4 linked regions of the Lonchura striata genome follow. The protein of the gene in region 1 purifies or fractionates together with the protein of each later gene. This does not show direct contact. Links are inferred from orthologs where the notes say so. Each region holds a gene or a part of one and is shown on either strand. Other genes may lie near its edges.

Region 1 (7,930 bases):
AACAGCTGCAAAGTGCCGTCTGTGACAGGGAAGGGTGGCAAATGCAGCCCCTGGTCCCCCCAGGAATGGGGGAGGAATGGCAGCAGTTTGGGGGAGCCCAGGGCGGCGAGCTGGAAGCTGGCAGGGTGGGATGCAGCTGGCAGCAGACAGGAGAAAAGAAGTAGGGCAGAGCTACAGCATCACTGCCTGGGGAGCCCTGTGGGTGCTGGGGGCACCCACTGCCTGCTTTTCTTCCCCAGAACCCTGCCATGCTGGGTGGTTTCTGGACACAAAGCTGCTGCCTGCACCCGGGGGTGCTCCCAGGGCAGATGGGGCTTGCTGTGGACACAGCTCAGCAGCACAGCCTGACTCCATGCCAGGATGGAGGTTTCCATTCCAGGAGACAGAGAAGCCGTGCTGGGGCCAGTAGCATCCCCAGGGGTGCCCCCAGGGCCCCACAGCCCAACAGCACCACCACAACCCCTGGCAGTGGGGACCAGCTGTGTCACAGCGGGTGCTGTCAGCATCATGCATCACTTACCCCACTTCCATGGCTTTAATCCCTCCACCCAACCCATACAGCCCTTTCCCACCCCCGGGCTCCAGGTATGTGGGTCACCCGTGGGTGGAGATGCCCTGTGCAGCCCGGAGCGGGGGCTCCCCGCAGCCGGGGGCCTCCACTGAGGATCCCTCATCACCCCAGGCAAAGGCACCGCAGCCCCGCTGCCCTCGCATGGCCCCGCTGCTCACCGGAGCAGGCAGAGCAGCATCCCCGGGCGCCGGAACGGGGCTCCCGCGGCAGCCCACCCCCCATGCCACGGCCAGGGAGGGGTCACATCGCCCCAGCCTCCCGCCCCAGCCCCGGCACATGTGTTTCCAATGTGGCTGGGAGCTCCAGGGAGTCGGCGTGCTCAGAAAGCAGCACCAAATTCCTTTCCGATCGAGTAATGGGCCCCAGCAGCCTTCGCGGGGCCGGGCAGGGGGAGGGGATGCTCGGACCCTTCAGGACCGGGCTGGAGCAGGGGAAATCCCAGACTAAACCGAGGGATCCCGGGCGGGCATGAGCGTGGCATTCCGCGGTGGCGGCCCAGGGCCAGGCTCTGGCACAGTGTCCCCCCAGGCAGCTCCCTGGCTCAGCCAGTCTGGGCCCTCCTCCCCGTGGACTGTCCCCATCACCTTGCCCGATGGAGCCCCACCAGCATCGCCCCTCATCCAGCACCCCCGCAGCGGGCCCTGCAGAGGGGATGATGTTCCCACAGGCACTGAGTGCCAGGAGCTCCGGTGACAATGGCATGGGGTGGCTGGGGACATTGGAGCAGCTGGGGACGATGGACCAAAGTCAGCCCCACGGATGGGGATGCCAGGGGATCACTGCCTGGCCGGGATCAGCGTTGGAGGTGTTTGTGGGGGAGCCGCCACCGGCCCCCTCGCCTTCCCGGGAACCGATTCTGCTTCTCTCAGCAGCTTTGGCAGGGACGGCTCCTTTGCAGCGGATGCCGGGAAGCGAGATGTACCCAGGGCTGACAGCTGCCGCCTGGCCGGCGACACACACGGCGCTTGCCCGCAGCGCCCCTGGGCTGACAGCGGGACTGTGGGGCCCTCCGGAGACCCCCGGGGACTGGGGGCACCTGGACCTGCCCAGGCCCACCCAGCCCTGTCCTGAGAGCAAGGACCTGCTTAGAGACAGACGTCTGACCGGCTGGGTTGTGGGTGCAGCCCAGCTGGGAGGTGGGAGTCCCCGGATGGGCGGTGGGTATATCCCGGAGGGGTGGTGGATGCCCCTGGCTGGATGGTGGGTGCACAGTAGCTCTCCTCCGTCCGCCCCCCACCAAAAGCATCATGCACAGCATGCACCCAGCACTCCACACTGCCCAGCGAGATGCGCCCCAGCGCGCCGGCAGCGCTCCCACCCAGCCTGCCAGAGGCACCCTGGAGGGCAGGGAGGGGATGGCGGGGCAGATGGCCCCAGCCAGCCTCCCGGCACCCGGCTGGGCTGGGAGATGCGGGTGGGCTGGCAGTGGGTGATGCTCCCTGCAGCGGGCCCGGATCCAGCCGACCTCGACAACCGGTGCCCCGCACCGGGGCGCGGGCAGCGCGACAAGCCGGGGGTCCCAGCGGAGAGAACCACTCCCCTCCCCGACTCAACAGCAACCCCAGCCCGGCGGGGCAACCCCGGGCCGACACACCGCGACCCCCCAGGGATGCGGCAGCCCCGGAGCTTGGGGGAATCTCAGGGTAGCGGGAGCGGCGGGAGATGCTCGGTGTCCCCGCGGCTTCAGGCCTCTCTCCGCCGGGCAGCGGGGCCGCCCGCTGCCGGGATACCGGTGAAGCCGGTCGGGAGCAGGACCGGTCGGGAGCGGGGCCGGGCTGCGGGCGCCCCGATCCCCTCCCCATCCCCCGTTGCCCCGGCGCCCCTGCCCGCGGCTCCAGCTCCAGACAATGGCGAGGAACCGGTGCCGGGCCCAGCACCGGGGAGCCCCACGGGGCCCTCCCCGTCGTGCGCGAATTCCCCCGCTCCCCGCTCTCGCTGCCCGGCTGGGGGTCGGACCGGGCCGTGCCGGGACTCCCGGGGCCGACGGGTCCCGGCGCCCGCACGTGCCGGCCCGGCGCAGACAAAGCGGGGACCGCGCCCCGGCCCGGTGCGGCGGGCAGGTGCGGGCACCGGGGGCGGCGAGCCGGGCACACCCCCCGCCGCCCCGCCCGCCTTTGTGTGCCGGGGCTCGCGGGGACGGCGGGGGGCGCAGCTCGGGGCGCGGCCGGTGTTACCGGGCGGCTCCGTGCACAAAGGGCGGCGGCGGCGGCGGGGACAAAGGGGCGGCGGCGGCGGCGGGCGCGCTCACCAGTCGGTGGGGCTGTCCTCGCCGATCACGTCCTGGTAGGAGGCGAGCAGCTCCAGGCGGTGCGCCGCGAAGCCGACGCCAGCCATGGCGGGGCCGGGATGCTGCCGGGGGACCGGAGGGACCGGCCGCCTGCCCGCCTCCGAGACACTGCCGCAGCGGCCGGGCGGAGGGGCGAGCGGCGGGGAGGCTCCGCCCGCCGCCGCGCCCGGTCCTAGCGCCGCGAACGGCGGCCCCCCTCCCCTCCCCTCCGCCCCCCCGCCCGGCCCCCGCCCCCGCCGCGCCCCCGGGGCGCCCCCGGGGCAGCCCGCCGGCCGCGCCGCCCGGCCCCGAGCCGGGACCCCGGGGGTGCGGGCAGCATCACCCCCGCCGCGGGCCGCCCCCGCACGCAGCTCGCCCCCGGGATCCCGCAGCCTGGGCTCTGCTCTGCCCCCGCAACACCGCGCTCCGGGCCGTCCCCAGCCCCAGGGACACTGAACCCCGGCTCAGCTCCTCCTGGGAACCTGCACGCCGGGTGATTTCGCATTCCGGGCTCTCCTCCGCCCTGGGGACGCATCCTGCGCTGCCCCTCCTGGGAACTTGCACTCTGGAGACCTCTCGTGCTGGGTGGTCCTCTCCATTCCCATATTCTCCCCTGCCCCACATCCTCTACACCCAGGGATGTGGCACACATGGCTTCCCGTGCCCTCCGCTGCCCCACGCCGAGCCCCCGTGTCCAAGGTTTCCTCTCCAAGGACACGGCACCGTCGGCTTTGCCCTAAACACCCAGCCATGCCCTCACTGCTCGCACAAGGGGTCACTGGACACAGCCTTTCTGGGGGCGTCTTTGCTGCCCATCTGCTCCTCTACCCCCACCACTGCCAAGCCACCGGTCCTTTCAGAACCCTTCAATCACCTTTTTCAGGAGGTTTTGCCTCTGTGCGACCCCACAGCTGGTTTTGCACTGACCCTCGAAGGGCTCTGAAGGGGCTCTCAGCCAGGTCCTAATGCTCCTGCCAGCGATTCCCTGTCCCCGGCGCTGCCCCCAGCCTGGACCAGCACCGCGCTGGAGGGGTCTCTGTGCCAGAGCAGCAATGGAGAGCACGCAGGGCCCGATTCCTGCGGGATGGGGATGTTGGTGGAGTGGCCCGTCACAAAAGAATCCCTTCAGGCAGCCCGTGGGACACGGGGACATGGGAGATGAGGGACATGGGACAGGGTGCCGAGGGTCCTGGCGCTGCCGCCCGCTCCCCCCACGCCCTCCTCACACCAGCATTTCCGAGCGAGGCCAGAGCCGGAGCCGCCCTAAGAGGCTGTGAGAGTTTGGGAGCAGCTGTGGAGCAGCTGCCGGGGCCAGCGCGGGGGCTGGGGCCGGGGCAGGCGCCCCACAAGCGGCTCAGATGGCTTTGGGGGTGGATGTGGTGAGACCCCGCTCAGGGATGTGGTGGGAGCTCCGAGCCTACCGCCGCCAGGCTTTGTTCTCCGAGCAGCGAGGCTGCAGCCCCTCCCCAGGCTCCACCTCCGCAGCCCACCCGAGACCCTCCTTCCGCTGCCTGTGCACAAGGTCCTCACATGGTGCGCAGAGCTGGTGGGCAAGAGATGCCCTTGGCAAAGCGCAGAGGCACCTTGGGTGGTAGAGGAGTCATCAGGAGGGCCCAGAGGCAACAGGGAACCAAGCAGAGCTAAGCCCCCCGCGAGCACAGACCTTGCAGTGGCACCAGGGGATGCTTGGCTCTCCCCAGGGAAGAGGCAGGTTGACTGTAGCACCCTGGCCCTGCTGCACAGCTGGGCACCCCGGGGCTGATCTGGCAGAACCTGTTCCCAGCCTGTGCTAGCCCAGCAGGCTCCGTCCCGCACCACTGCCTGCCCCTGCCCCTTTCCTACCCTCCACTCACGGGTTGCTGTCCAGCCAACCCAGGGTTGGTTCAGGGCCTGCCCATGTGGGGCCACAGCCACCTCACCTTCCCCTGTGCTTCCTCTGACCTTGGCTGCACAGCTGGGACTCACACGTGGGCACTCAGCCCTGCTCCTGCCAGCCCTGCCAGGCAGGCACCAGCTGCTTCTGTGCCATGTCCTGCTGCTTCTCAGTGTGACCATCCCACTGCTCTCACGTGCCCCAGCCCGACTGCCTGGCCCAGCCCCAGCTTGACTTCATCCCTCACCTTTCCTTGCCCCATCTTTGATGTGCTTTTGCACTCCTGGAACTGGCAGTGAGAAGATGTGGCACCGCAGCCCAGATCTGGGTGATGCCAGGAGGTATTTGGCTTCCCACAGCCAGCTCCTGCCCCAGGCAGAACCTTCCAGTAGATGAGCAAGACGATTTTCCTTACAATTGCTCATCATGGCAAGAGCTGCAATTATTAATGACCGTTCCAGCTGTCAGAGTGGAGAGGGAGGAGAACACCCACACGCGCTGCCCTCGAGCCCGTTCCAGCCGGAGGTGCTGGTGTGGCCTCAGCCGTCCTTCGGGACGGCAGCTGCAGCGTGTGAGCGAACGCTTGGCCGCTCCACGCTGGAGAACGCCCAGAGCTGGTGCACGTGGCCCACGCGTGCCCCACGACTCCTCAACCCCTCTACAGTACTCAGGACGCTGCCAGGTATACAAGGACCTCCACTAAGGTCTCACCCCTTCCCCATCTCTCCTTGCTGCATTTTGCCCCCCAGATTAATTACTGCCCCCATTAGCGGTCCTGCCTGCTACAAGAGGGACGACCCAGCCGACACAAAAGGTCAAGCCTGGGCAGAGGTGGAGAAATCTGAGGCGAAGAGTTTCCCTGGAAAGCTGGAAGGAGCTGAGTCAGGCCCCAGAGGGAGCGGGATGAGGGCAGAGCATGACCTTCCCAGCCGGCCACACCTCACTCGGCAAAACCACTGGCCTGGAGACAGCCGGCACTTGCAGAGATGTGTTTATTAAAGGCACTAAAAGCACCGTGGCTACATCAGCGCAGCCCGACCAGAGGGTGTGGTTTGGGGGGAGGCATCGGTGGCCCCAGGATGGCAGTGGCAGAGATCTCTTTGGTAGGAAGCTGTGCCCAAGCCTTGCGGGAGCAGCAGCCTGACTGGGCTGGCCATCATTACACGCTGCCAGCCCACGGCTGGGCCATGCCAGGCTGGGGGTGTTGCCAGCCCCAGGGGAGCAGGGGGGCAGCAGGGTGGGAGGCATGAGGCACAGACACCCCTGGAATGCAACTGGGGCAGGAAGCCACTGCAGTTTGAGGGTGGCTGGTGGGTTGTCATGGGCAGGGCCCCAGCAGGGGAGCAGGGCCGGGTCTCCAGCCCCAAGCACACAGCAGGGAAGGTTGGGGAGAGTGAGACAAGAGCTGGTCCTCACCCACTCAGGGATGTGTAAGGAGTATCCCTGCCCCAGCACTGAGCTGCCAGGCAGCAAGGGAGCAGGCCAGCCGTGGCAGACCCCCTCCAATTCCAGCCTCAGCATGGTTGTACCCACCATGCTGCGTGGCTCAGGGGCAGGAGATCCATGCAGCATCCCCTTTCCAGGGCTCCTAGGGCCAGTTGAGAAGCATGTAAGAAGCCACCCAGCTATAAAAGGCTCTGGACCCAGCACTGTATCTGGCTGAAGTCGAGCCAGGAGCTGCCAGGAAAGAGGCAGAAGCAAGGGAAAGGGCCAAGGGCCCAGTCTGGCTCCCTGGGGCCAGCAGGGCAGGGGAAGAGGAGCATGCAGGGCCAGGGGCATGTGTAGGCACAGCTGAATTCCCACCCCTCACACATGGGAGAAAGCATGGCTCTTGCACAGAGGCTTGTCCTTCTTGGAGTAGAACGTCTTCCCTTCCAGGTTGGTCTGGCAGATCTGGGGAGGAAAGTACAGGTGGTCAGGTCGGGGGGCTGAGTCAGCCTCTGGTCCCCCACAGCCCAGCACTGGTGTTACACAGGGACCTCCACATGGCCCTGGGGCACTGCGAGGGAACAGAAGGCTCAGAGCAGAGCCCCAGGCGTCCGGAACGGAGGCAAGTGGGACAAATCTTGTGGCAGCAGGTTCCCTGTGCTGCTGGTGTACCCCACCCAGAGCAGGACTGTCGGGGAGAGGCACAGGCCCTGCAACAGTCGGGGAGGGAGGCACACTGCTCACCGCACAGACAAAGCAAGTGTCATGCCAGCTGAACCCCAGCGCCTCCAGGAACCGGTCCCCAGCATCGATCTTGAAGTCACAGCCGCGGCACTTGGTGCCAAACATCTTCTCATAGTCTGTGAGGAAAGGCAGAGCCAGGTCAGCATTTCCATGCACTACAGCCGCTCATGCCAGGGGAGCAGGGCTGCAGCTCAGCCAGGATCCCACAGGCACAGCCTGGGGACAACTCTGCCAGCCCCCATTCAGGTGAGAAAAAGCCTGGGACACCCGGGAAAGGTGTAGGGTGGCATAGCCAACACAGAGCTCCAGGGGGAGGAGGAGAACCTCATCTCCCAGGATGCAGCACTCGCTTTGATGTACATCCTCCCTCATCGCCATGGCAACATAGGAGCTATGGCACTACCCTGCAGCTAGGGAGAACCAGGTGGAGGGCTCAGGGCTGTGGGATTGGGGTCTCTGTGCTCCCCGCAGCCCAGGGGGAGCCCTGCAGAGCAGGGCAGCTCATACCCCCAGCCCTGTGTGCAGCTGCTGAGTCCCAATGCGCCCCAGGGCCACATGAGGTGACACATGGGGCCCCTGGGTCCTACCTCTCTCGCAGTAGGGCTGTCCCTCCTCCATGTAGAAGGCTCGGTTGCGGATGGGAGTTTTGCAGGCGTTGCAGGTGAAGCACTGCACGTGCCAGGTCATCTTCAGTGCGTGCATCACCTCCTGGAGGGGAGCCACTGTCAGCCAGGGGCAGGAGCACCAAGGGCAGGAAGGGTCAAGGAATCCCCTGAGATGGACCAAGGCGGGAAGGGACAGAGCCAGGCACTCACAGCAGAGGACAAGGACAGGAGATGGAGGGCAGGCTGAGGGACACTCACCCCAGTGATCTTCTTCTTGCACTTGGCGCAGCTGGGTGCGTAGCGCGTGTCGTAGCACTTGGGGCAGAAGATGGAGCCTTTCTCCTCAAAGAAGCCGCCCTCATCCAGCACCTTCCTGCACTGGCAGCAGATGAACTCCTCGGGGTGGTAATAATGTCCCAGCGCCACGAGGTACCGTCCCCTGT
Region 2 (6,893 bases), on another chromosome or scaffold:
AAAGAAATTTTGCTGGAATTCCAGAGTTAGTTAAGTAAAGTCTGCTGGAATTCCAGAGTTATTTAAGGAAATTTTGCTGGAATTACAAAGTTAAGGAAAGTCTGCTGGAATTCCAGAGTTAGTTAAGGAAATTCTGCTGGAATTCCAGAGTTATTTAAGACAATCCTGCTGGAATTCCAGAGTTATTTAAGGAAATTTTGCTGGAATTACAAAGTTAAGGAAAGTCTGCTGGAATTCCAGAGTTAGTTAAGGAAATTCTGCTGGAATTCCAGAGTTATTTAAGGAAATGCTGCTGGAATTCTAAGGCATGGAAATTCTTCTGGAATTCCAGAGTTATTTAAGGAAATTCTGCTGGAATTCCAGAGTTATTTAAGGAAATTCTGCTGCTCAATATCCCCATGGGACCTCCAAGGCCACCCTTTAATCTCAGGAGTGAAATGGGAATTCAGGAATTTTGGGGTGGAACCGTCTGGCTGGGCAATGGTTTCTGCTGCCCCACCAGCGAGAATTCCAGATCATTCCAGGTACAGCAACAATTCCTGCATCCCAAATTTTCCTCCAGGCGGCTCCGGGGGTTTTCCAGCGACTTTGCAGATGGCAGGAGAAAACAGGGACACAGGGATTTCACCTGGATCAGCACATCCCCTGCCAGCTTCAAAGGCTTCTGCCAGCCTCACATTTCTGTCACTGCTGGTTCCTGCCTCATCGCTCCCTCTAGCTAGTCCAAAAATAACATTTTTTTTTTTTAAAAGGAAAAGGGAAAATTAAAAAAAAAAAAAAAAAGAGGAAAATAGGAAATTTATTAAAAAAAAAAAAAAAAAGGAAAAGGGAAAATTTTATCAAGGAAAACAGGAAAAAATCTTTAAAAGGAAAATAGAATTTTTTAAATAAGGAAAACAGAAAATAATAAAAAAAAACAATCCCGCTCCCAAAATCCCATTGCCAAAATCCCGCTCCCAAAATTATTCTCCTAAAATCCCACTGTCAAAATCCCACTCCCGAATTCCCTCTCCCAAAATCCCACTGCCAAAATCCCGCTCCCAAATTCCTTCTCCCAAAATCCCATTGCCAAAATCCTTCTCCCAAATTCCCTCTCCCAAAATCCCTCTCCCAAATTCCCTCTCCCAAAATCCCTCTCCCAAATTCCTTCTCCCAAAATCCCATTGCCAAAATCCTTCTCCCAAATTCCCTCTCCCAAAATCCCTCTCCCAAATTCCTTCTCCCAAAATCCCATTGCCAAAATCCTTCTCCCAAATTCCCTCTCCCAAAATCCCTCTCCCAAATTCCCTCTCCCAAAATCCCTCTCCCAAATTCCCTCTCTCAAATTCTCTCTCCCAAATTCCCTCTCCCAAATTCCCTCTCCCAAATTCCTTCTCCCAAATTCCCTCTCCCAAATTCCCTCTCCCAAATTGCTTCTCCCAAATTCCCTCTCCCAAATTCCCTCTCCCAAATTTCCGCTCCCAAATTCCCTCTCTCAAATTCCCTCTCCCAAATTCCTTTTCCCAAATTCCCTCTCCCAAATTGCTTCTCCCAAATTCCCTCTCCCAAATTCCCGCTCCCAAATTCCCTCTCCCAAATTCCCTCTCTCAAATTCCCTCTCCCAAAATCCCTCTCCCAAATTCCCTCTCTCAAATTCTCTCTCCCAAATTCCCTCTCCCAAATTCCCTCTCCCAAATTCCTTCTCCCAAATTCCCTCTCCCAAATTCCCTCTCCCAAATTCCTTCTCCCAAATTCCCTCTCCCAAATTCCCTCTCCCAAATTCCTTCTCCCAAATTCCCTCTCCCAAATTCCTTCTCCCAAATTCCCTCTCCCAAATTCCTTCTCCCAAATTCCCTCTCCCAAATTCCCTCTCCCCGGTTCCCGTCCCGGCAGAACCGCCTCGGCTCCATCTTCCCGCCCGCAGTCCCGAGGAATTCCCAATTTCCGAACTCCGGGAAGTTCCCGGCGCCGCCCGTGCACGAGTCGCGGCCGCTCGCCGTTCTCCGCTTCCCCGCCCCAAAAATTAAAGGCGAGGCGAAACTTTCCAGCTCGCAACGCGGCAAAAAAATAAAACCCCCAAAAAAGCGCCGATCAAGCCTTGAATTCGTGCCTGAGAAGCGGCTCCGGGCCGTGGGCACGGAGAGGAACGGGAACGGAGCCCGGCGAGGAACGGGAACGGAGCCCGGCGAGGAACGGGAACGGAGCCCGGCGAGGAACGGGAACGGAGAGCGGAGAGGAACGGGAACGGAGCCCGGCGAGGAACGGGAACGGAGCCCGGCGAGGAACGGGAACGGAGCCCGGCGAGGAACGGGAACGGAGCCCGGCGAGGAACGGGAACGGAGAGCGGAGAGGAACGGGAACGGAGCCCGGCGAGGAACGGGAACGGAGCCCGGCGAGGAACGGGAACGGAGAGCGGAGAGGAACGGGAACGGAGCCCGGCGAGGAACGGGAACGGAGAGCGGAGAGGAACGGGAACGGAGAGCGGAGAGGAACGGGAACGGAGAGCGGAGAGGAACGGGAACGGAGCCCGGCGAGGAACGGGAACGGAGCCCGGCGAGGAACGGGAACGGAGCCCGGCGGTCTCACCCCATCCCCGGCGGCCGCGATCCTCCCGCGCCGCCTCCTCCTCCTCCTTCTCCCCTTCCTCTTTCTTTCTGTCCTTCTCCGGATCCGGATGCTCTTTAAATTTCCTCCGGAATTTCACTTTGAAGCGTTGCTGCAGCTGCTGCTCCGCGGCTCCGGGAGCGGCTCCGGCACCGGGAGCGGTCCCGGGATCGGCACCGGGGAGTGGTGCTGGGAGTGGCACCGGGAGCGGTACCGGGAATGGATCCGGGAGCGGCTCCGGCACCGGGATCGGCACCAGCACCGGGGAGTGGTCCCGGGAGCGGCTCCGGCACCGGGAATAGCCCCGGGAGCGGTACCGGGAGCGGTACCGGGGTCGGCACCGGCACCGGGAGTGGCCCCGGGAGTGGCTCCGGCACCGGGAGCGGTACCGGGATCGGCACCAGCACCGGGGAGTGGTTCTGGGAGTGGCACCAGCACCGGGAGCGGTCCCGGGATGGGCACCGGCACCGGGAGCGGCCCCGGGCGCTCCGGGCTGTGCCCCGGCGCTTCTCCGCCCGCTGCCCGGTTCCGTCCGGCCCGGCAGGGAGCGGCCGGACGGAGCCGGTGCCTGTCCACGCCTTTTGTCCCCCCGCACCGGGCGTTCCCTCCGCGGGCACCGCGGCCCGGGCTCCGCGTTGCCCGGTCCCGCCGGTCCTGCCCGGTCCCGCCGCTCCCTACCCGCTCCCTGCCCGCTCCCGCCGCCCCATCCCGCTCACGTTTGGCCGCTTTTCTTCTCCCGACTTTATTCGCGGCGCCGGCAGCACCACCTGCCGGGACAGGAGCCCGGTGCCACCCCCGGGACGGCGGGGACAGCGGGGACAGGAGCCCGGTGCCACCCCCGGGACGGCGAGGACAGCGGGGACAGGAGCCCGGTGCCACCCCCGGGACAGCGGGGACAGGAGCCCGGTGCCACCCCCGGGACGGCGGGACAGGAGCCCGGTGCCACCCCCGGGACGGTGGGGACAGCGGGGACAGGAGCCCGGTGCCACCCCCGGGACAGCGGGGACGGCGGGGACAGGAGCCCGGTGCCACCCCCGGGACGGCGGGACAGGAGCCCGGTGCCACCCCCGGGGCGGCGGGGACAACGGGGACAGGAGCCCGGTGCCACCCCCGGGACAGCGGGGACAGGAGCCCGGTGCCACCCCCGGGACAGCGGGGACAGGAGCCCGGTGCCACCCCCGGGACAGCGGGGACAGAATCCTCGGGGTTCCCTGAGCCCCAAAACCCTCTGCCCCCCAAACCCCCTCACTCACCCCTGGAATCCAGAATTCCAGCCTGGCAGCACGAACATGAGTGAGAGAACCCCGGGTGTGATAATACTAACCTGGGTGTGATAACCCGGGTGTGGTAACACCAGTGATAACCCGGGTGTGATAACCCGGGTGTGATAATACCAGTGAAAACCCGGGTGTGATAACCTGGGTGTGATAACACCAGTGATAACCCGGGTGTGATAACCCGGGTGTGGTAACACCTGTGATAACCCAGGTGTGATAACCTGGGTGTGATAACCCGGGTGTGATAACCCGGGTGTGGTAACACCAGTGATAACCCAGGTGTGATAACCCGGGTGTGGTAACACCTGTGATAACCCAGGTGTGATAACCCGGGTGTGATAACCCGGGTGTGGTAACACCAGTGATAACCCAGGTGTGATAACCCCGGGTGTGGTAACACCAGTGATAACCCGGGTGTGATAACCCAGGTATGATAATACCAGTGATAACCCGGGTGTGATAACACCTGTGATAACCCAGGTGTGATAACCCCAGTGATAACCCGGGTGTGGTAATACTAACCTAGGCGTGATAACCCCGGGTGTGATAACACCTGTGATAACCTGGGTGTGATAACCCAGGTGTGATAATACCAGTGATAACCTGGGTGTGATAACCCCGGGTGTGATAACCTGGGTGTGATAACCCCGGGTGTGATAACCCCAGTGATAACCCGGGTGTGATAAAACCTGTGATAACCCCGGTGTGATAACCCAGGTGTGATAATACCAGTGAAAACCCGGGTGTGATAACCTGGGTGTGATAACACCAGTGATAACCCAGGTGTGATAACACCTGTGATAACCCAGGTGTGATAACCTGGGTGTGATAACCCGGGTGTGGTAATACTAACCTGGGTGTGATAACCCCGGTGTGATAATACCAGTGATAACCCAGGTGTGGTAATATCAATTCAGTATTTCAATTCAGGATTTCAATTCAGGATTTCAATTCAATATTTCAATTCAGGATTTCAATTCAGGATTTCAATTCAATATTTCAATTCAGGATTTCAATTTAGGATTTGAATGTAGGATTTAAATTTAGGATTTCAATTCAATATTTCCATTCAGGATTTCAATTCAGGATTTCAATTTAAACCGCTGAAATGCAAACTCCTGCAAGGATCGCCCATCTCTTCCAGGAGCAGAAAAATCTCCAATAAACACCAAAATCTGTCCCCAGCTGTTGCTTTTAAACCCAAAATTCCTTTTTTTTCCCCACACATGCTCGAAGTTCCCCTCCAGAACGGCCCCTGAGCCACTTTTCTGTGCGGCTTTACAGAAATTAATCCTGCAGCGCTAAAAATACCCCAAATTCACCTTCCACTTTCTGTTTAAAGCAGCTCATTAAAGCCTCCCCGTGCCCCTGGGGCTGCTGCTTTTCCAGGAAAATTGAAATTATTCCTCACTGGCCGGAGCCTTCCCCTCCATTTCCCCCCATTTTTTCTCCTTTTCCCTTTCTTTAGCTTCTCAAAAGGATTTTCCCCTGCTTTTTTTTTTTTTTTTTTTTGTCCTAATTCGACCTTTTCCACATCTCCCTCTGTCCAAAAATGTCATAAATCAAATTTCAACCGCTGAATTTATTTATTGCCGAGGTGAGGCCACGGCTCAGGGGGGAGAAGCTGAAATTTCAGCTTTTCTGAGCCACTTTTTCTTTTTTCCAAGTGAATTTTCCCTTTTCTTGGGTGGGAATTACCCTGAGTTGCTGCTCAGGAAAATCCCAGGACAGAAAGGCACAGGCAGCTCATTTCCCCCCATTTTTACAATTCTGAGAAAGCAGAAATTTGATTTTTATAATTTTCACATTATACTATATTATACTATATTTCATTCTATTATAATCACATTATATTTTACTATATGTTTATATTAATTATATATTACATTACATTATATATTAACTATATATTGTATTAATATTATCATAGTATATAATAATATATATAATATTATTATTAATATTTTATTATCCTATTTAATAATAAAGAAATATAATCGGGTTGTATTGAACAATAACTCCCAAAGCAGGAGTTACCACCCCAAGCCCAAAGCCAATATTTGTAATTTCTGACAAATAAATAATAAATAAACGTGATGAAAGAGAAATGAATACGTAATATAATAAATAAATAGAATGAAACGGAAATAAATGCATCCTAGAATAAATAAATGTAATGAAATAGAAATAAATAGATAATAAATAAATGGAATGAAAGAGAAATGAAGCTACCATAAATCAGCACAATTCAAGCTAATACAAGGAAGGTGCTGCAGCAAATCCTCCCCAGCCCAGCCAATTAGCCGGGATTAATTAGGCCGGGATTAATTGGGCCGGGTAATTAAAGCTCCCGGGAGGGCGGGGCCCGGCCTCGGGAGGGGACAGGGGACAGGGATGGGAGAGGGGACAAGGGACAAAGAGGAAATGGGGACAGGGAAGGGGACAGGGGAGAGGGGACAGGGATGGGGACAGAAAATGGGACAAGGAAGGGACAGAGAATGGGACAGGGATGGGAATGGGGACAAGGACAGGGATGAGGACGGGGACAGGATGGGACAGGGATGGGGACAGAAAATGGGACAAGGAAGGGACAGAGAATGGGACAGGGATGGGAATGGGGACAGGGACAGGGATGAGGACGGGGACAGGGGAGAGGGGACAGGGACAGAAAATGGGACAGGGATGGGAATGGGGACAGGGAAGGGGACAGGGATGGGGACGGGGACAAGGGACAAAGAGAGGAAATGGGGACAGGGATGGGGACAGGGACAGGGATGGGAATGGGGACAGGGGAGAGAGGACAAGGAACAGAAAATGGGACAAGAAAGGGACAGGGGACAGGGATGAGAGAGGGGACAAGGGACAAAGAGGAAATGGGGACAGGGATGGGGACAGGGGAGAGGGGACAGGGATGGGGACAGAAAATGGGACAAGGAAGGGACAGAGAATGGGACAGGGATGGGAATGGGGACAGGGAAGGGGACAAGGATGGGGAGGGGACAAGGGACAAAGAGAGGAAATGGGGACAGGGAA
Region 3 (7,170 bases), on another chromosome or scaffold:
ATATCCATATGCCCACATTTTCATGCACTTCTTTTTCATACTGGACAACCATTAGCATGAACAGCACACAACTAGATCTTCTGCTGCAGGGGGATCACAGTACAGAGAGAGACATAACAGCTAAGAAAAGCTGCTGGGAAGCTCCTGGAATGCAGAGGACTGACCAGACCATGTCCCATGTCAGATGATATTTGGAGTTCTAACAGGAACAGGAAAGTCATTTGGATAATAGGTCATAGTCATATACAAGGAGAACAGCAAAAGATGCCAGAAGGAGAGGAAAAGAAAAGAGGCAAAGGAAAACCCCTGCTCAAAGGTCATGCAGAGCAGGAGCACAGCAGCCACTGCAGGGTATGGTCCAGGAAGACACAAACAAGCAACCAGCAGGAGATTAGGAAATAAGGCTGGGGCTGTCAAGAGATGATGAAAACTAGATGGGAACTGCTGGGCCTCATCACAGCTACAGAGAGCTGTGAAGTTTCTTTATGGTGAGAAGCTCACAGAGTCAAAATGGAGTGTGAAAGGCAAAAGTGAAACATGGAGCTTAACATGAGGACCTCACAGGAGAACAGGGCAAGGAGGGACAAGAAAGGACAGAAGATGATTTCTTTCCCAGAACCTGATACAGATGCAGTGGCATGGGGATGGGAGAAGGCTGCACAGGGGTACAACTTCTGTCCAGCATTTAACAACATATCAGATGGTGCCCAAATAGACAGCACAGGGACCTCCTGGGCATTCCTCAGTTTATCAGCCAGCCTGGGCTCAGGCTAGGCAGCAGAGAGAGTAGATTCACCACCCCAATAGTGTCAAAAAGAAGTTTTATCAACACAGTTCAGATATAACCCTTCTGCTGTGCACCCACTATGCCTTCAATGTGATGCATCCAGGACGGTGCAAAGGATGACCATACCTCTCTTTTCACCTGTGAAAGGAACCAAGTCTTCTCTGTCTTTAATATCCTTTGCCTGCTTCTCTAGATGGGCCATGAGTTCCTCCCTTTTGAATGGGCCAGTTGGTGGCTTTTGTGTCTGATCCCGCTGCCTGAGCCCTGCTGGCAACAGTGCATTCTAGACAAGAAGGTGAGAAACACAGGTTATCTCTGCAGGCTATACTCCCCATCCATGAAACACTCTCCCCTCATTGCACTACTCTTCTTCCACAGTGTTGGACAATTTGCTACTCCTTGTCTCAAAGGTTATCTTTGTCCAGCCCCACTGATTCCCACATAATTCAAGATATGTGATGCGCCTTTCCCCCTTCAGTTTCAAATGCTATCCAGTAGCTGTTTCTCTGCAACATCAACTCCAGCCCTTTCCTTCTGGAAGCTCTCACCCATCTTCCCCCCACTATACGAGTCTGTCCAAGTGCCCACAATGCCCCACGTGTCCCAACAAGAATCACTTCAGTTAAATCTCATGATCTTTCACAGAGCAGATCAGAGAGTTGTGGTGGTTTCTTCTGCTTTTCAGGATCCATCACAAAACTACACAGAGGGTCTCACAGAAAAGATCAGATGGTTGCAGAGCAAAACCCCTGTGGATTCCAGCTCTTTTCCAAGCTGCCTCCTTTGTTATTCAGTCACGTAAGCCTCCACGGGAAGTTGGTTTGTGCTTGACACATATGGCATGTAAACACCTGCTTATATTTAAATATAGAACAGCCTTAATGCAGTAAGTAAGACTATTCCCAGATTTGACACTAAGCATGTTCTTTAAGGCTTTACTGGATAGAAGTCAACATTTACTTTTTAAGATATCCAAGGTGATGCTGAACAACACACTTATTTTTCCATGCCTGCCTGATAAAAGTAGTTAATTATAATTTATATCTGTATCAATTAAAAGCCTGGGAAGGAAAATTACTAATAGGAAGCAACTGGACCCAGGCAGCCCTGGAGGGCAAGAGAAGTGTGTGAATTGCACAAGCAGGGAGGCACAGGAGACAGCTTGCTTCCACAAGTTTCATGGTGTGCGAGGCAACTATGCAATCTTCAAGCAGACTACACCTGCACTGACAGAGGCCCATAATTATTTCACCTTTCTTCATCTTTCACAGAGTGCTGCCTGACTCTGTGTCTTCGTGCTTCGTGATAGTTGCAACCAGCCCATCAGTCCATACGCTTAATCCTGGGAGCCAATTTGCCAGGTCTCAAATATTTTCCGGCATTACAATTAAAAATACTGATGATGCAATCTATGGCACCCATCATTTACTCCACAAACACTAACTGTCTGTTGCAGGAGCAATTTCTCACTTGGCAGTGCCCAAGCTCCTCGAGTAACATTGCTGTAAGCCAGAGGCCAGCCAGTTGGCTCTGCACATCCCCTGCAACAGGACAGTGCTGACTTCAAAAACCTTTCACCAGTTTGGCACCAGCAGACCCCATGTTTGCGTATGTGCAGCTCCTGCTGATGCTAGGGGGTTGCTAAAAATAAACTTTCCCACTTTGCAAAACTCTGGGGTTTGGATTTCTACCTAAATGGAGGAAAATACAGGGCATTTGAAGTTTGTTACAAAAAAACCCGAATCCAAAACACAAAAAAACCTCCAGAAAACCCTCAAACCAAGCAACCCGCAAAGCATTCCCTCTAAGGTGGTCTGCTCAGAAATAGGGATCCATTTTCCACAGGATTACTGCACTGCAACCAGCACTGGCTCATATTGCTGCTGCAAGTCACAGTTGCTCATCACATTGGGAAAAGACCAGGAGAACAGAAACAAAGATAAACATGTAGACTGTGCTTCCAATGGCAATTCTACAGCCAGTCTCTTCCACTCTTGCTCCAAGTACAGGCTCTGCAAAGGATCCCACTGAAATACCAATTACTAATGCAGCCCACTCCCCCACAATTACTAAGATTCACGACCTAAAGTCTTGATTAAAAATTACTTACATCAGGATCCAGCTCTTCCAGCTCATTCTCTAACTTCCTGAGCTCCTCCTCTGTCAGAGATCCAAGGATCTGATCTTCATCTAGGTCTCGGTATTTTTCTAGCTCCTTTCTGTAAGACATCTTAGAGGAGTCTCGTGGATCTCACTTTTATGCTGTAACAGAACCTGACAGGAAAACAAGAAGCATTAACACTGAACACATGAAGCATGGTGCTGCAGCCTGCCTGGCTGGGGAGCACTGAACACCTCAGAGCTGGAGATTTATGCTTAAAGCATAGCTGATTTCAAAAGATTCTCAGGGCCCCCCTTTCATATCCCATATGCACATAACCACCCATGGAGGTGAGAGCAGTGCAGCTCTGGTAGCACATTGCCCCACCACAGATTTACCAGACAGGACTGAGGAAGTTCTTGGTACAGGACCCTGGCTAGGGATGTCTTTCTGCAGGCAGAGCTAGATGTTACTGAAGCATCCTGGGCATTTATTTCTTTGAAGGACAATAAACTGTATGTCATGAAGTATACAGGTCTCACGTCCTTACAAGTCCCCAGTAACAACACGCTGCACATGGCACTCCAGATAACATGGTTACCAGATGGGAAAACAGATTTGTAGCACCACTGAGTACCTCTGAGCCCTGAAAACCTCTTCGAGGCTACAGCGTGTGGCACTTCTTCCCATGTTTTAAAGCCACAAGGAGATCAGGAAGTATTATCCACTCAGGTTCAGGAGGCTGCCAGTTAAATGTGCTATTTAGTGACCCACCTTTGCTGAGACAACACACGTTTGCACTGTTGCCAGCTAAGCAGCTGACCTGTGTGCTACTGCATGTTCTAAACCTATCCTTCAAGAAAAGAAGTGAATGGTCTATCTGGATAATCCCTGCTGACCCCAAGGTTTGGTCCATGTCACCTAATATCATGTGTCATACACAATCATATGCATGTAACTAGACCTCTGCAAGCAAAAAGACTGCAGAGAAAAAGGTCAATGTGTTTAAAATATGCAGGTGGGTTAAAAGTACACTCAGTATAACACACAAAAGCATATCCAACTCTGCTCTTTTGATGACAGTCTCCTTCTGCTCCACAGCACTGCCTGTACATTTATATTGTGTTGGCTCCATTTTTGCAGAGAATACTGAGTCCTAGATAATTTAAAGTGATTTTTCTTAAAGTGTTGCTATCCTTTTGAGTGACATTTACATTAAAAATAACAGCAAGGCCTGTGTATTTTTTAGGGAACCAAGCATCTTTTGAGTTTCTATAAATGGTCTCTTTTCAGCTCCTGTGAAACATCAGAGCCCTACCCTGAATCACATCTTTCCAGCTTTGCTTGCCTCCTCAGGACAGATTATGCTCTTATGATCACTCTTCATTAGTGGAGAAGTTTCTTTAGACGAGTTACAACACAGCTGCTGTTCCAGATAGGAAAATTATCTTTAGCTTGGTCACAAAAGGGCACAGTAATGCACACACACTTGCTCAACAGCAAGCCCTTAAATTTAGAAGCTGTCATATTGTCAGACATTTGGTTCCCCACTAGTGTGATGGCAATTCCTGCATCATTCACATTCCTGGCACTCACCACTTAGGAGGTGAAGTGCGAGGAGATGGTGCATTCTTGATGGGAGAAACAGCCCCTGAAGCTCCCTCATCTGGGAACTGAGAGGGTGAAAATCAGTTTTTCACTGGGCTGGTTTGCTCCAAGGAGCAGCCATCAACCTGTGGGCACCAGAGCCAAGGGCAGCCATGAGGGTGAGGAGGAAGCAGGAGTGGTGGGGCTCAGTGAGTGAGGGAGGTGGAAGGAACCCCACAGTTCCGTGAGTGAGGGAGGTGGAAGGAACCCCACAGTTCCGTGAGTGAGGGAGGTGGAAGGAACCCCACAGTTCCGTGAGTGAGGGAGGTGGAAGGAACCCCACAGTTCCGTGCTTCCCCAGCACCCTGCAGCCCCCAGTGCGGGGCTCCCTGTGCTGCGGGGCTGGTGGGCAGCAGCCACATATCAGCCAGCCCACGGGCCATGTCCAGCAGCTCAGCCCCTGCAAGCCTGCCCTTCCTGCAGGCACAAAGAAGGGCAGAGCCTTTACTGCAATTGCCCATAAACACTGAGGTGGGAGATCCTAGAAAAGCAGCCTGGACTTGGATCTGGATATGCACTGTGCTACTGTGGCCTTAGATTGCATTGCATGAGCCATGACTAGCCAGGATTTCATATGCCATATGTAGTTTTCACCATTCTGCCATGGAAGGAGCTGGAGCTAGGAGCAAGCAGAAAGGCAGAGAATAACCAACCCCAGGCTGCTAAATTCTCTATAATGGCTTAAAATACCCACACCTGCCACACACATGGCAGTATCTGTCTTGGCTATATGAGGACAACTATTCCCACAGATAGCCACAGACCTTTCCCAGAATGCAGGCAAGACTGCAAGCAGGGGCCTGTCTGGGACCAGAGCGCAGCCCCGCAGGGTGACCTTGTTGCCTCCCTCCAGAAGGACAGAGATGTCAGCACCGAGAGGCAGGACAGACATGGGATGTCAGTGCACACAGGCAGTGCTTCTGGAAAACGCCTCAGGTTTCAAAGCATCTTGCAGAGATATTAAGCTGAGGCTGCATATAGCAAAGGCCCTGAGGGTTGAGGACAGGTGCAGAGCCTGCTGAAATGCAGCTGAAATCCCTGTTGGGGGAATTTAATTTGCTACATACCCCAAAGAGAAATGCTGGGGGGCACAGTGCCCTCCCAGACTTGCTGGAGCAGCCAGATAGTGCTGGCACCTTGCACATGTCCCGCAGAGAGCACACCGAGAGGACTGCTCATCAGGAGCACCAGCCTTGCCCATAGCAGCAGGACATTCTGTACTGCTCCCCTGCCTGCAGTGCCAGCTGTTCAGCATAGTGTCCTCCAGCACAGCCTCCAGGACCAGTATGTTCACTGGCACTCCCTTATCTCCACATCCCAGGCCTCTTCTACCCTGTCTTGCTAATGAGTGCTGGGAGAAGAAAGCAAACCAGCCCATCTGCTGTAAATGGAAGAGAGCTTTGAACTGCCAGTGATAAGAAAGAACACAGGTCCCACCTTCACCTGAGCTCAAACTAAACAGCAAGGTCCTTCAGCACAACTTGAGTTCTCACTCTTTTTCATTAACCCTATCACTCTTAATTCAACCAACTAAGGAAGCATCACAAAAGAATTTAAGTGCAACATACATATACTGCACAGAACTGACACTGTTGCAACTTTAAGTCCTCAAAACATTGAAATTCATATAGATTACAAAGACAGCAAGATATTAGGTCTCTTTGTAGTACTTTGTGTACTTGTCAGTTATACAGGAAGACAGCCCAAGCACTTGCACTTGATAAATCCAAACAGCACACAGGTTGGAATGCACAACAATCATTAAAATTGTTAAAGGAGAAAAATTTAATTGGCTGGGAGATAATAAAAGGTCATCTACAGGAAAGACTGTTCTCACCATGAATATGGGAAAACAAAACCAAACACAACAACATTCTGATCATGAGGGGGATAGAACAGTTTCTTTCTGAAGGGTTCAAAAGTGCTGAGCAACCAAATGGATGCTGAAAATAAGTGAAAATTAAAAGCATCCTGTATAACACTGGAAATAATTCTTTCACAGTGCTTTGCACTGGTACAGCCCCCTGCAGCACCATGACCTTTTTGGGGTGCAGAAAACTGACAGCAGCACAGGGAAGCAGTGGAAATCCATCTGGGAAAGCGGCCTACGTGGGGCCCACTGTTTCACCACCAGCCGAGGGCAGGCATCAGCACTTGGTTGTGCTCTTCAGGTGGGCAAGCAGGGAGGGCAACAGCAGGGCAGCAATGGGCTTGGGCTACAGCAGGCTGCTCAGGAATGCTGTGGAGCAGCACCCATACTGCTGAGTCAAAAGGCCTGCTGAATTATCCCTCCGTGATCCAACAGCTCCAGGAAAAAGAACAAATGCAGAGAGGAAAAACTGGGTAAAGAGACAGGAACAACAGCAAGACAAATTTCAAGAAAATACAAAAATGTCACAGTGGAAGCTGGGGTGCAGTGTCAGGCATGCCATGTGACACATGCTGTGTGACATCTGGCACACGCTGTGCCGGGCAGCCCAGCACCTCCCCGCACAACCTCCCAGCATGCCAACACCAGGACTGCATAGAAAGCACTTCCCTTCATGAAAATGTAGGGAGAAAGAGCAACTAAGCTCAGCAAAGGTGCAGGGCTTTCCAGGGTTAAATTCTGTTATCAGTCCAAGCCAACCCTGGC
Region 4 (7,137 bases), on another chromosome or scaffold:
GCCACACCACCAGCCTGGGGGGAAACACAGCAGCAAGGATTCATACCAGGACTGGGGGGAAGAGTGTATTCCCCTGTGTATAACTTGTCCTGCCTACCAGAAATTATCCCAAGCTCAGGATTCACTTTCTCTGCTGATAGACACTGGGAATTATTTATCGATGCAGGCAACAGGACCCATGTCAGTTATGCTCAAAAAAAGCACAACCAACTTTAAATGAATAAAAGTAACAACAAGCGAGTGGGAAATAAACAAAACAGAAAGATCAGGAAAGTCTCAGTCATGAGGAAGTGTGAGCACTTTGCAAGCATGTGACCTGATATCACTTTCCTTGTGCCTTTGGATTCTTAACAGACACAACTGCTTGACTGCATGTTTTCACTTCTATCCCACTTGATTGTGATGGCAGGGAGGAGTAACTCCCACTACTGTTCATCTCCTTTACCAAAACATTGCACATGCTGGCAGGGTGGGCTAAGCACAGAGACTGCAAGGTCAAACTGTTATGCAAGTGGGGAGAAATCAAATCTCCTGGGTAGGCGTTTCCCATTAACTTTGCTGCTTCTTAAATTCATTCCAGGTGCCTTGGGACTGTTCTTTCCTCTGCCTCTTGAAGAAAAACAAAACCTTGATTCCTAAAACTTTCTGGGGCTTTCCTTGTGTATTATTAATTCAGCCAAATTTCTCCCACTGGGATCTGCTGTTCTCCACCCTGTTGAGTTCCAACTCATTGAAAACATCTGGCTGAGAATGGGTTTTAAGCAACTGGAAAAAGGGCAAATCTCACTCTCCTGGGAATTGGGCAGGATGCCATTTCTTGCAAACTTGGGTCAGTTATCACCCACCTTGTATTTGATGCCAGATTTGAAGTAGCCCAGGAAGGTGGGGGACTCGTGGCCCTGCACCTCGCGGTGCTGCACAGCCTTCCCCTGCAGGTGCTCATCCATCTGCACAGTGAAGATGGCAGCAGCCCCACGCTCATCCTGAGAGCTTTCATCACCTGAAACATGGAAAGGGACACTGGGAGGGGATGCAGGCTCTGCCTCTGCATTCTACTGTGCAAACACAGGAGGAGAAAGCAGATTTAACTGTGATATTGTCAAAGAGCCTGGGGTTTGCAGGCTCTGTGACATGACAGCAGAGGGCACTTAGGAGAGGCAAAAATCCCACTCATCAGGAGGAACACACCTGACCTCCCTCCTTTCAGGCAAAAAGGATTTGAACCAGACTTCACCTGAGATCTTGCCTTCCCTGTGAACCTCTGCAGAACAGGGACTTGCCTGTCCTATTGCCAGGAAAAGCTGGTTTTAGGATCAGAGGTGGCTGTACTCTCTATTGCAGAGACCACACAAATATTTGACACGAGTAGGGCTATTTACCCCCAGCAGTGCATTCTCACTGTGCTGCTTTTTATTTCCTTGGGTAACGTTTCCTGGCCATGGTGGAGCAGAGGCTCAGGGGTCACTCTGGGTCCCAGCTCTGCAGGGACACTCCCAGCACTCACCCAACCAGAAGTGCAGGTCATACTGGAGGTTCCCGCTGCGCTGCTTGATGGTGTTCAGCACCAGGTAGGAATCTCCAGTGAAGAAGTCTCCATACAGGTTTTTTGGCACTGGCACCAAATCAAATTTCTCGACCCTCCAGATCTGAAGGCCGGGTTCCTTCCCAGCCTTCAAAAACTCGGCGTGTTCCACCATGCTGACAGGCTGGGGGTGAGACAGAGGGTGCTGTTCAGTGGGCAGGACACAAGGAAGTCTTTAAATTAAATTGCTTCTCATCTCCTAACTTGCTGTGCCAGCCAAAAAGTGGAAAGTTTCCTTTTTTTCTCATGCACTGAGTTTTAAAGGGGGGAAAAAATAAGGATGTGTGTGGAAAGAATCCCTCTCCATTGATCACTGTCAATTTTCACTTCCAATCATCTCTACTTCTTGGTTTATTACTGGCTTATCCTCTTCGAGACTCTTGTCCTCTCTCTCTGCATTTTAATCTCTGTATTTTTCTTACTAATTTATAACTTTTTAGTATGGCACATAAGTGAAGCTTGACATTCCAGGCTGTGGGAAAGAAAAATTTTGGAAAAATTTGCAAAAATATTTAGAAAACCAAATTGAAAATGCTGTGAATATCACTGAATATTTAGGTAATTAAGAGGTTTCTTAAAGCTCTTCTGTTCTGACCTGTTATTTTAACTCCTCCCTTGTAGGAATTACATTAATTTACACAACATCCTGCCCTAAGGACACTGCAATTTTGGTTTAATATGTTTATTGCCATACTTATGCAATATATCAACACAGTGCAATATCCTTTTTTTATTTTCGAACAAACATAATGAACACTTTCTTATAAAATAATTCACTTTGTTAATTCTGGAAGGAAATACAACATTTCTGGTGTATTGGCAATGAAGACTGTCCATTGATCACATCATGCCTTTGAGAGCTATCAGGTAACAGGGAAGAAAACATTACAATACTACATTAGAAGCATTCAGTACTTTGACAAAGAAGATGGTTCACAGCAGCTGATGGACAAAAGTAAAATATGCTCAGTTTTCAAGGCAGAAATAAAGAATGTTACAAGCTAGAAAGCAAAATAGTAAGTTAGGTATCAAAGTGATTCCTAAGCTGAAATCAGATATCAAAGATGGAAAAGAATTAACTTTATCACCATGATTCCAGCCTGCCTGAATCCTCCCAAATTCCCACTAAAACTGGGCAAACGCTGACAAAGAGTTGAAGGAGATGGATTCCTGTAAGTAGCTGGAAGCAGAAGTTTTTCAGCGTTTAATTGTGATGTCCATCACTTACCACAGCCGAAAGCACAAGAGCTGCTGTAACAACATATCCGAGCCCTGCCACAGACATGGAGCTGACAGAGCTCAGCTTCAGAGCCACTGTGCAGAAAATGGTGAGGAAAAGGTAACTCAAGTCCTTCCTGCCCATTTCTAGGAGCAAAGGGCTTCTCCCTGCTCCTGCCGAGCTGCGGGGAGTCCCAGCTCCCGGCTCCTCTGGCTGCTGGGGCAGATGAGGGGCAGAAGCCAATCTTTTATCGGGGACAAACACACCCACCCCCTCGGCAGCACAGGGGCGGAACGCGTTCGTGCAAACAATGCTGCTGGAACCGCCGAGCCTCTCCCGGAGCCCGGCAGGCGCTCGCTCGCACGAAGTGCGATCCATGACCGACAGCACAGCCAGGGTCACACGGGCCAAACGGCCCCTCACGGGCAGAAACTCAGAGACATCAGCAACACAGGCAGCATTTTGTCAGCTGAGAGCTGGGGAGTTGATGAGACGCAGAGGAGCAGCACGGCGGCTCCAGCTGGCAGGGAAAGACTTTGGGGAAGACAAGGATGGAGCTGAGCAGCCTGAGGATGGGGGATGCACCCTCAGCTCCCTGAAGCTGCCAGAGGAGCGGGGTTCAGCCCGTGAAGGAGGGCTGAATGAGCCCCGCACACCGCACCGGCAGGAACAATTCGGGAGGATTTGGGGAGGCACTGATGGATTTCAGCTCCCGGAGCACAACAGAGCATTCAGAGTCCTGTAGGTGACAGAACAAAAGCTCATTCAGCAATTCAATAATTTCACAACCAAGTATTTCTGAGGGTGTAGCAACACCCTGTGACAGGAACACAAGAGCCATCAAACCTACTCAGCCCAAAGGAATTACAACAGGGCTGATTGTAGCACCCCAACAATCTGCCACCAATAAAGAGATTACTCTTCCAATACCTCACACTGCAGCAAGTTCAACTATCACGTTCTCCAAGTGTTTGCAGCGAGTGAAGTGAGCAGGAGCCTTTCCCTGTGGCCCTCAGGAACTGAGCAGCCACACAATGTGGAGTCCTGCCACTGGGCTCTGAACACACCCAGGGGACAATTCCTGACAGGCTGAGCTTTCCACGGTCAGAATCTCTCAAAAGATTCTTAAATAAGGGGCCAAACCCTCCACCCATAAAACTCCACAATAAAACTTCCAGGAAGGAAAGAGCAGACCCTGCTTTGTGCTTTCTCCACTCTCCATGAGGGTATTTTCTTTCCCTCTCTCCCAAGAGCACTCTGTTGCTCTCTTGTGCAAGCTGATGCATTTTAATTTGAACTGTCACCTTGGCAATGTACCTTTGAAAATCTCACTGGAAAGTCTCAAACTGAAACGGACAATAAAAACAATGTGCTAGTCCTGTTGGTATTTCTGATCTCTGTGAAGGAAGTTCAGAGTGTCAGAGGTCTAAGTCTCACTGAAAAACATGTTGGAACCTTGACTCTAAGAAAGGCAGCTGTGAAAGGCTTTGGCAGCTGCAGCAAACCCAAACCAAAATGACTGTGTTGCATAACATTAGAAAGAGATAGGTCCTTTCCAAATGGAAAAATACTCTGGACTTTTTATTTCTAAATTAAATACCTGTATAGTCCCACATCTGGGCAAACCTCACAGACTGAAGGCACAAAGACCCAGGATAATCTCCTTCATTAACATCCCACTGTAGGATATTGTAATTCACAGATATATGCAGGCACAATATCTTTGAAAAAACATTTATTTAGTCTCCTAATTAATTTGGCATTTTGTAAGCCCAAGCTTGCATTGCCAATTAACTGCAATATATAAATAGAGGCAAAAAACTGAGAGAGGGCTACAGTGCATAAATTGCATATTTCTTTCATAAAATTAATTAATCTGAGCCATTCCTGAAGGGAATAGGTGTAAATCTACCCCAGCAGCTGGTTTGGGTTATCACTGCTGGCAGCAAGTGTTGCATTGTTAAATCAAGCCCCAGAAATGTTTACCCTGGACATTGTTCTAAGGGCACTTGCCAGCTGAGATCGCCAGGGCTCTACTGAAAAGGGTGTCCGGATGGAGACATGGAAAGCAGGCACTTTTCAAAGCTGCTGTTAATAAAAGTGTCCAGCTTGGTCCCAGAAATGGTGCTATGCACAGCCAACCTCTTATGCAAAGGAAAGTTGTTTAAGGAAAACAAGGAAAGTGCTTGAAATACAGGATTTCAGTGCAGATGGATCGGCTAAATGACACTTGGCTTCATAGTGATGAAAACAAGAACTTGGGGAAAAATAGTCCAACGATTTGAGCAACCACTGGAAGACAACAAGCTCATTATGGTCTCCAGATGTGCGGTCACACCAGCAGGACAGGCCAGCCCAGGAATGCCCTGGGAGGGAGTCAGGCCTGCAGGAACAATCCCAGGGATTTACTGCTGGGCACCCAACAGGAAAAGCTCACACTGACAAAGTCCGTGTGGGGCCCACAGACCACGGGCAGCCTGGAGCTGCTGCTCCAGGGAAGCAGCAGTGATCTCCCGAGGCTGGAGGCTGTTTGCTCCGGGGGAAGGCCAGGAAAGGCAGAGAGGCCCCAGGGCAATCCCGGGCGTGCTGTGCATCCTCTGGGCAAGCCCTGAGCGCTGCTGCAGCTCCCACCGCCTCCCACCCGGGACTCAGCTCCTGGCTCCTGGTACCCAAAGCACCTTTCCTACTTCCAGCCTGCAGCTTGTAACACACAGCTCTCTTTGCCTCCCTCCCTAAATTCTTCATCTCTGCTCTGCTCACTCATCCCTGTGGCCGTGCCTCCCTCTCAGCTGTGACAGTCTCCTCTGCCCTCCCACCCTGACACCAGCAGCACTTTGGCTGTTTGTCTTCACTCTCCTCTGAATTTCTGCCAAGGAGCTGCCCAGTTCTGCACTGCCCAGCACAGCCATGCTGAGAGGAATCTCCTGTTCCCTTCAGGAAAAACCTGCAGACACTGAGCCTGGAATCTCTTACTCTGCCTCACCACACTGCAAAATCCATAATTAATAATAATATTTAATGTGTGGTTCCTCCACGTCAAATCCACTCTCACATCTTCACGCCTACCACCATCTAAAGCTTAATGATGTTGCTAAACTCACTTTCTACAAGATAATATCACCCAATACTCACAGCAGGGAAAGAAAGAAAAAAAATCTTTATTTCATTTGGCAACTGGCTACTAACAAGAGAAAAATGAGCACATTTTTTGTGAGGCCCAGTTGTAATAGTTTGTGGCAATTCATATTTGTAATAATTTGTGGCAATTCATGCCTGAATATACCCACAAATATAGTCAGGACTTACCTGCACAGGGCTGCTCAGGAAAGCTTGGCTGAATTAAATGAGACAGAAACAAGGGTAGCCCACATCCCCATGTGGTTGTGCTCATTTGCAGCTCCGGCGTCGACTCGTGATGGGTTCAGATAATTTGTCTAAATCTGCTGCATAAACAAAACCCACACAGGAAGGGCTGCAGCCAACACAACATTTCACCACAGAGCATCCAAACCACCTGCTGCTCACTGCTGGATCAATTCCTGCCTTTCTACATGGCAAAGGCTGTATTTTTGATTTTAATGGATGACACTTGCAGAACATCAAAATAACTTGCAAATACAGACTGAGTTTCTTAAACATGAGAACAGTAAATCTGAGTAGAGTCTGTATCCACACTACAGTCATGCTGCAAAAATGCCCCTCATATACCAATCCTTATTGTACCTTGGGGGCAAACATTTGCATTTCCACCCAACTAACTCTCTCTTTCCTTTTATTTATTTGCCAAACATTGCCTGGAGAATATGAACTGCTCCAAATAAACAACAATATATGTTCTCAAAAAAGAAAGCCTCCCTTATCTCACAGCATTCCAGGCTGCCTGTACCAAGAGCCAGAAGAGGTAAATTACTGCTGTATTGCTGCTGCAACAACAGGAAAACCCTAAATCCTTGTTTTGCAAGAGGCAAAGGGGTATAATCTCCCTGGCATGATCAGTCTGAGGAAATCTACAGGTTGTGCTTGCCACAGTAACAGCCCAGAGCAAGGGCTGCGTTCCCCAGGTCTATAACAGCGATGCTGAAGAGATCACAGGAACAAAAACCCAATCAAGTTATCTCCTTGCTTCAGGTTCAGCCCTTTGTGCACTTTGGACACAATCTACACTGTCTGACTGCCCATGCAGCCATTTCTTTACTCTGTGATCTGCTGCTGCCCCATAAAAACTCTGATGGATTTACAAAGCTTGTGAGGGTGAGCAGCACAGAACCACTTGAGTTCTGACAATCCAAAACTCAGGACGTGATGCTGCTGAACACAAAGAAAGTTCAGCACAGGA

What was found.
Region 2: the proteins of DBN1 (region 1) and HOMER3 purify together in Homo sapiens (co-immunoprecipitation; 3 studies listed by BioGRID and IntAct, counting the BioPlex papers as one, with this or other methods). This does not show direct contact. The link is inferred for Lonchura striata from reciprocal best matches to the Homo sapiens genes DBN1 and HOMER3.
Region 3: the proteins of DBN1 (region 1) and TMOD1 purify together in Homo sapiens (co-immunoprecipitation; 3 studies listed by BioGRID and IntAct, with this or other methods). This does not show direct contact. The link is inferred for Lonchura striata from reciprocal best matches to the Homo sapiens genes DBN1 and TMOD1.
Region 4: the proteins of DBN1 (region 1) and GSN purify together in Homo sapiens (co-immunoprecipitation; 3 studies listed by BioGRID and IntAct, counting the BioPlex papers as one, with this or other methods). This does not show direct contact. The link is inferred for Lonchura striata from reciprocal best matches to the Homo sapiens genes DBN1 and GSN.

Annotation. Positions count from the first base shown.
Region 1 is NC_134617.1:3,198,561-3,206,490, forward strand, and holds the start of DBN1 (drebrin), read right to left. Parts: upstream 3,006-7,930; 5' UTR 2,906-3,005; coding exon 2,820-2,905; intron 1-2,819. Other genes in the region: PDLIM7 (PDZ and LIM domain protein 7), read right to left, coding at 6,517-6,603, 6,883-6,998, 7,470-7,590, 7,746-7,926. UniProt on the Homo sapiens protein: Actin cytoskeleton-organizing protein that plays a role in the formation of cell projections. Required for actin polymerization at immunological synapses (IS) and for the recruitment of the chemokine receptor CXCR4 to IS.
Region 2 is NC_134630.1:7,419,487-7,426,379, forward strand, and holds the start of HOMER3 (homer protein homolog 3), read right to left. Parts: upstream 3,020-6,893; 5' UTR 2,566-3,019; intron 1-2,565. UniProt on the Homo sapiens protein: Postsynaptic density scaffolding protein. Binds and cross-links cytoplasmic regions of GRM1, GRM5, ITPR1, DNM3, RYR1, RYR2, SHANK1 and SHANK3.
Region 3 is NC_134642.1:47,768,838-47,776,007, reverse strand, and holds the start of TMOD1 (tropomodulin-1), read right to left. Parts: upstream 3,018-7,170; coding exon 2,898-3,017; intron 1,071-2,897; coding exon 914-1,070; intron 1-913. UniProt on the Homo sapiens protein: Blocks the elongation and depolymerization of the actin filaments at the pointed end. The Tmod/TM complex contributes to the formation of the short actin protofilament, which in turn defines the geometry of the membrane skeleton.
Region 4 is NC_134624.1:9,499,089-9,506,225, reverse strand, and holds the start of GSN (gelsolin), read right to left. Parts: upstream 3,010-7,137; 5' UTR 2,946-3,009; coding exon 2,811-2,945; intron 1,707-2,810; coding exon 1,505-1,706; intron 1,001-1,504; coding exon 846-1,000; intron 15-845; coding exon 1-14. UniProt on the Homo sapiens protein: Calcium-regulated, actin-modulating protein that binds to the plus (or barbed) ends of actin monomers or filaments, preventing monomer exchange (end-blocking or capping).